Yarrowia lipolytica: one gene and its partner. The protein of the gene in region 2 interacts with the protein of the main gene of each other region in a pairwise test. Links are inferred from orthologs where the notes say so. Each region holds a gene or a part of one and is shown on either strand. Other genes may lie near its edges.

What was found.
Region 1: the proteins of YALI1_F15517g (region 2) and YALI1_D26467g interact in binary tests that used the Saccharomyces cerevisiae proteins (3 or more experiments, as listed by UniProt). The link is inferred for Yarrowia lipolytica from reciprocal best matches to the Saccharomyces cerevisiae genes SAH1 and CAF16.

What each region holds. Positions count from the first base shown.
Region 1 is NC_090773.1:2,644,864-2,647,988, forward strand, and holds YALI1_D26467g (uncharacterized protein), read left to right. Parts: upstream 1-1,788; coding exon 1,789-2,550; downstream 2,551-3,125. Other genes in the region: YALI1_D26454g (uncharacterized protein), read left to right, coding at 509-623, 674-831.
Region 2 is NC_090775.1:1,549,840-1,553,894, forward strand, and holds YALI1_F15517g (uncharacterized protein), read right to left. Parts: upstream 1,956-4,055; coding exon 606-1,955; downstream 1-605. Other genes in the region: YALI1_F15533g (uncharacterized protein), read left to right, coding at 3,513-3,527. UniProt on the Saccharomyces cerevisiae protein: Adenosylhomocysteine is a competitive inhibitor of S-adenosyl-L-methionine-dependent methyl transferase reactions; therefore adenosylhomocysteinase may play a key role in the control of methylations via regulation of the intracellular concentration of adenosylhomocysteine.

The DNA of each region.
Region 1 (3,125 bases), on a different chromosome or scaffold from region 2:
CTGGCCCGATGGATCAGAGGAGAATCCCGCCAGATATCACAGGCCAAGCTCCGTTACCCCACAGATATCGCCCGTTAGCGTCTCTTATCGCGGCGCACAATGGCCAGGGTGCAGAGATAACCAAGAGGAGCTCTTTTGACCTTCCTACACGCCAATTTGCAACGATTCCACGACCCACCCCGACCATCAAACCCTCAAACCCTCAGTGCCTTCTAATGCGCCATGTCGGCTGCGGTTTCCTTGTGAGGATCCAAGAGTCATGGACTGGCAGCGTGTGTGCCAATGCTGCCACTACATGGTAGTTCCAGCTAACAGTGGGGTCTGGTCAGGACACTCATTCTGCCTTGGTATGGGCTCTAGAACCACTTGCACCTGATCCACCACCACCGGTTTCCAGATAACCATAAACCCCCCGAAACAGTCGCGCGTTCTTGTCTGCAAACCTGGGCGTCTGCCGGAGCAGCAAATGAAAGTCTGATCCACCCAAGGGCTGAAACAGGGCTGAAAAATGGCTATCAGCGGAATGCTAATGGGGACTCAAACAAGAGCTTCGTTGGGTGGAGTGGGTTATCGAGAAAGCTATCGATTGATTCAGAATAGCAGTTGGCCGTCCTTCTCTATAAGTATTAGGCGTTGACCGACAATCTATCTCCGCACAATGCTACTGCACAAGTCTACGCCAGCGTGGAGGTGAAGTCTTCGACAGTTCAGGTGGGTGGGTACATACTTGCACTCGTACTCGTACTACAGCTGGCCGCTAAATCCGAGAATAGTTGGGCTACAGAAAGTTGTCTCGACTGGAGCACGGATATGTGGCTGGAATGTAGGTAGCAGATCGGCAAAGACACCTAAGAGTACGAGTACTTGTAATTAGGAGGACTTGTACGACTTGGGTTTCAACAGACTCATCGCAGAACTCCTTCCTCACGCTCGTCCCACCGCCAAACCTATAGCTCTTGGTCTCAGACAGTCTAAGAGCATACGAATGAAACAGTGGCCAAGTCGAGTGAGTGAAGCTCAAATATTAGTCAGGCCCAATTCTACAGAGTGAGAATGGTACATTCTACTGGCACAATAGCGGTACTCCTACTTACCAACTATACCCTAGGAAAGCTGTCTTTAGACCCTGAAAATGGCCTTTGGACTTGATCCGAAGGCGACACTCGTACCGCCACTCTTCGCCACTCTTCTTTGCTAGCTGTGAATACTCGGCAACTGTCAATGAGCAACTGATCTCGTTTTTGGAGTGAAGTTTTGAGTGAAGTTTGAATGAGTTCGTTCATGGAACTACTCGTAGCTCTGAACTGAACACTTCCGAGACTTGTCACCAAGGCCGAGTTTTCAAGGGTTAGAAAAGCTGTCTCGTCGGTACAACTCGTTACTAATCGCCGACACATCCGCTCACATGTGCTCCAAGTATATAACATGTACGCCACTCTACTATCAAACTCCATCTGTGGATACATTTCAGATTGGTGTTAGCGAAAAGGGCCATTTTGATCTCCCCCCCTCCGAACGATTGCGGTCATGGCTCCATGGCAGAGGCCAAAACGGACTCCACTGGTTGCTGCGTTTCTCCGAAGTGGTGGTGGGTGGGGAGAAGAAGATTAGGCCTGCAACTTTTTTTTTGTAGTCTCCCATGGGTGGGTTACCCGGCCCAACATACGGCCTACAGCTGAGTATGCACCTTCATGCAGGTAAATGGCGTGCCGTGGGCTGTTGGTGGAGTTGGACGACAAACCTGACAAGTAGTTGCACCCATTGCCCAATTGCACAAAAGCACACACAATGTCGATCACGGCGCAAAACCTCTCCTACACCTTCCCCAATGGGCTTGTGGGCATCCATCCCACCTCGTTCGACCTGCCTCCCGGGTCTAGAACGTTGCTGATCGGAGCCAATGGAGCTGGAAAGTCGACGTTGCTGCGAATTCTGGCGGGAAAGACCCTCGCCAAGGCCGACAGTCTCATTGTCCAGGGCTTTGATCCCTTCCGAGACTGTTCTCCTCCTGGAATCCGGTACCTGGGCACCGAATGGGCCGGCAATCCAATCGTGAGACACGACATTGAGGTCACCCAGCTGCTAAAGTACGCCGGAGGAGATGCCTATCCTGACCGACGAGACCATCTTGTGCAGCTGCTGGACGTGGATCCCACCTGGCACATGCACGAGGTGTCTGACGGAGAGCGTCGGCGAGTGCAGCTAGTCATGGGACTGCTGGTGCCGTGGGAAACTCTTCTGCTGGACGAGGTGACGGTTGATCTGGACGTTCTGGCCCGAACTAACCTGCTCAACTTCCTCAAGGAGGAGACCGAGACCCGACAAGCCACCATTGTTTACGCCACCCATATTTTCGACGGCCTCAACCAGTGGCCTACGCACGTTGCCCATATGAGCCAGTCCACCATGTTGAGTTGCGACACCTACGATGTGGTCCAGCGGGAGTTCCCTGGCAAGAGCATTCTGGAAATTGCACTGGGCTGGATCACCGGGGATATGGAACGGCGTGGGCCTCGCCTCCCCAGAGCAAAGAGACAGAGGGTTAACTAGGCTATCCACCGACAGTGCGATAGATACATCGACCAATGTACATGTAGATATATAATAGATCTGATACTAATGATATGGTTCCAATGGTATTAGACAGCTTCTTGTCTTGCGTCAGCCAAGGTGACTAAGTCAAAACGGCGCTAAACATAAGCCAAGAGAGATCTGACATAATATCGCCCTTAAGACCCGATGTGATACCCACTAGGGTTGCGTGAGCAATCTATACACTAGCCAGATGGCTTCTTTGTGTCTTTAGTGTCGAGTTGGAGAGTGGTGATACTCCATGGACTATAGCTGACTGTCCGAGTAGAGTATCAGCAAACCACATTAGACGACAGAGCAGCTCTTGCACTTTTACTTGATATTTTCACAACTGATCTCCAACGCCATTACTAATCAGATACGATGGATACGACGCGGCTGGGGCCCGGATTAGGTTGATGGAGATCGGCATCGGAACCCCAGTGCTGCTAAAGGTACGAGTTTCAGGTGTGCATCTACAAGTAGCAACAGGTGGGATATTTGTATGAAAGAAAGGGGAATTATTTATACGAGTGTGTGACGGGGACTTGGCA
Region 2 (4,055 bases):
ATAACCGTGGCGTATGTTGTAACGAAAGCATGTCCCGAAAACATGTCCCCCACGTGCCCCCACCCGAGTTTCCGAGCCGCACGGTGGGGGAGGGGGAACAACTTTTGGATGATCTAGAGATGCGCAATTGTCAATCGATTTGCCAGCAATATCCAGAAATGACATGTCCTCATGTGTAAATGTCACGTGGTAAATATCCGTCACGTGAAGTACTCATGAGGCGAGTCTTGGCCAGGTCTATTCTCTATTCTGGTTGTCTCCTATGAGTGTTGAGGAGATCATTGTATCGCACGTACCTTGTGAGATTTGGTTTTACCGACGATGTGCAGTTATATCATCCAGTCTTTAAACGAGTGAGTTGAACTACATTGCAGTGTTCAGGTCTACGTTCAACTGAGGGCAGATGTCTTTTTATTCTCAATTGCGACTTGCTCTGTCTCAGGTACTCTGCCCAATCTCGCAACGCTCGATTGGTCTGTCGATGATATCATCAATTACTAACCCGTTGAGGGACTATATACTCTTAATAAATAATTAAGCTGGCACTAGCCAGATGCAGTTGATGCTTAAAGCGGGCTTAGAAGCAGACACTAGCGGTTAAGCGCTTAGTATCGGTAAATGTCGGCCTTGTAGGGACCCTCCTGGGCAATTCCCAGGTACTCGGCCTGAACGTCGGACAGCTTGGACAGCTTGACGCCAAGGTGGTCGAGATGAAGTCGGGCAACCTCCTCGTCGAGAATCTTGGGCAGCACGTGGACGCCGACCTCAAAGGGACCGGACTTGGCAAACTCAACGTGCTTCTTTCGGAACTCGTCATTCTTGGCGTTGAACAGAGCAATCTGGGCCAGAACCTGGTTAGTGAAAGAACAGGACATGACGAAAGAGGAGTGACCGGTGGCACAGCCAAGGTTGACCAGTCGGCCCTCAGCAAGGAGGATCACGTGTCGGCCGGAGGGCATCTCAAATCGGTCGACCTGGGGCTTGATGTTGACCACGTTCTTGGCGTTGGCCTTGAGCCAGGCAACGTCAATCTCGATATCGAAATGACCAATGTTGCACACAATGGCGTCGTTAGGCATCTGGGAGAAGTGCTCGCCAGTGATAATGTCTCGGCAACCGGTGGTGGTGACGAAGATCTGACCGACCTTGCAGGCCTCCTCCATGGGGAGAACCTGGTAGCCAGAAACAGAGGCCTGGAGGGCGTTGATGGGGTCAATCTCGGTAACAATGACTCGGGCACCGAAAGACTGAAGAGCCTGGGCGCAGCCCTTTCCGACATCTCCGAATCCGGCGACAACAGCGGTCTTACCGGCAATCATAACATCGGTGGCTCGCTTGATACCGTCGATCAGAGACTCTCGGCATCCGTACAGGTTATCAAACTTGGACTTGGTGACAGAGTCGTTGACGTTGATGGCGGGGACCTTGAGCTTGCCCTCCTTCATCATTCGGTAGAGATGGTGGACACCGGTGGTGGTCTCCTCGGACAGACCGAAACAGTCATCGAGCTGCTCGGGGTACTTCTCGTGAACCAGAGTGGTCAGATCTCCACCGTCGTCAAGAATCATGTTGAGCTTCTTGCCGTCCTTGAAGGCCTTGAGCTGCTGCTCAATGCACCAGTTGTACTCCTCCTCGGTCTCGCCCTTCCAGGCAAAGACGGGAACGCCGGCGGCGGCAATGGCGGCAGCGGCATGGTCCTGGGTGGAGAAAATGTTGCAGGAAGACCAGGTCACCTCGGCTCCAAGAGCAACCAGAGTCTCAATCAGAACGGCGGTCTGAATGGTCATGTGCAGACATCCGGCGATTCGGGCGCCCTTAAGAGGCTGGACAGCAGCATACTTCTCTCGAGTCTGCATCAGACCGGGCATTTCGTTCTCGGCGAGCTCGATCTCCTTTCGACCAAAAGCAGCAAGACCGATATCGGCAACCTTGTAGTTGGGGGGGGGGGCGGACATTTTCGGGGGGGTTGTAAAGTGGGGGTTTGTTGGGAAAATTCCTAAAGATCAAAAAGGAAAAAAATCAAAGAAAAAGAGAGCCCCAGCTGTCTATATATAATCTTTGGGATTTTAGTAGGTTTGAAAAAGTTTCAGACCGGGTAACCCACGTGGAGGAGCAGCGAAGCCGGCCCAAAATCGACGAGAAATGCTCCAATTGGAATTCCGGAAATTGGAATCGACTCCTGACACTGAATTGAATCCTTTTGTACGAAAAAATTGCAGAAAGAACATCACAAGCAGCCTTCTCCAACACCCCAACAAGTTCAGGACACGTTGATCTAATTCTCCACACAACTTTAATTGCACAGCTGATTTGGAACCGGGTGGAAGGTCACGGTGATCACGTGATGCAAAGGCGGAGGAGGGGGAATTTTTTTGTCCTATTGGGTCATATTACCGAAAAGGAGCGCAAAACCCGCCCAATTATTGAGTCACATGAGCCTGAATCAACAATCCCCCCAATTACCGCCCCCTTCCTCCCTCTCGTATGTCACATAGTTGCAGACGAGCTAAACGAGAATAACCAGACCCGGGTATGCACGTGCAAAAAAGGCGGGTTTGGGTAGGGTTGGGGGTTTTGTATTGGGATATTGAGGTTAGGGTATCCCGATTAGGACATTAAGGTTAGGGTAGCCCATTGGTGTTTCTGCAAAGATTGAGCCGCTTCTCTCCACAGAAAGCAGCCCGGGTTAGGGACCGGTTTTTACGATCACCGCTGGGTTAGGGTAAATCCGATGGGGAATTGAGTTTCTCGGTTTCCCATTAGAGTTTTGAACGGATGACTCAAATGAGTCATTTACCAACCAACCGACCTTGTGCGAATGAAGTAAGTTCGTCCAAGACTGGTTGTTTGGTGACTTGTTTTTGTGCGTCGCGTTTGTTGTGATTTTATCATTTTAGCTGGGTAATACTTGATCACGTGACTACATATGGCTAGTTCTGTTTTTTCCCATTGTTTTTTTGTCTTTTTTGACCGAGAAATGAGGGTTTTGGTATGGCACTAATCATCGTGTAATTGTAATTGATTATCGTGCAATTTGGAATTAGAGAATTTTTTTTGGCTTTGTGTTTGTGTTCCAATGTTTATAAAAGGTGGTGGTTTCCTCGGTTCCTTTTTTCGTCGTTTTCTCGTTCCACTTGTCCGCCATTCACCTGTTTTGTGGTTCTTTTGTGGTTGATTTGTGAGTTTTGTCCTTTGGTCCGTGGTTTTTTGAGACTCTTGGTTTGTGTTTTTGGAGTTGACAGGAGGTATTGAGAGGCATAGGAGGTGGTTAGGAGTTGGAGAAAAAATGGTTGAATTTTTCCACTTTGTTTCCACTTTTTTTTCACTTTTTTCCCACCTTTTATTTGATTTGATTTGATTTGATTTATTTTTTATCATTTTTTATTCATTTTATTTCCCTTTTCCCGGTCGCGGTAACCTTGACCTCCCTCCCACGGCCGGGTAAGTCGCGATAACCCGATCTGACCTTAAGACACATCTGCCGCCAAATCAAAGTTGCACTAGTCATTATCATGGGTCGACCGAGAGTGAGTATGGGCTAGGAGGCCGGCAAAGAGGTGTTTCGGGATGGCTCGGGGCTCCTTGGAACGGTTCGGGACGGCTTCAGAGGACAGGCTAGGAACGCCAGTGAGTGATGACCCATTTCAGATCAAGTCGGTTTTTGTGGTCCAAAGTCGCTCCCATTCTATCGGCGATAGTATCAACCGAAGCAGAATCGAGCTAGGAGCGCTGCGGGGTTGCGGCGGTCGTGTTGCGACGTTTTTGGCCGAGTTGCGGCGACTTTGTGATCAGGACGTTGCGATCTGGATGTGGTGGAGACGCCAGTGAGATGATGCACCAATGAGAAGCGGCTTATTGTTGTCGAACTTTTGCGACGATTTGCGGGCGACACTGAGTGCGATCACTTCTGTGTTTGTTCGCAGTTGTTGGGAATCGATCGCGATCGTTTCTGTCCATCTACTGTCACTACATTGCTGTCATTACTGCCATTACTCATTGACCTCGGTAACGCCTGAATCGTTGGCACAACTGTCCAACACGACATGGTGTCGGCC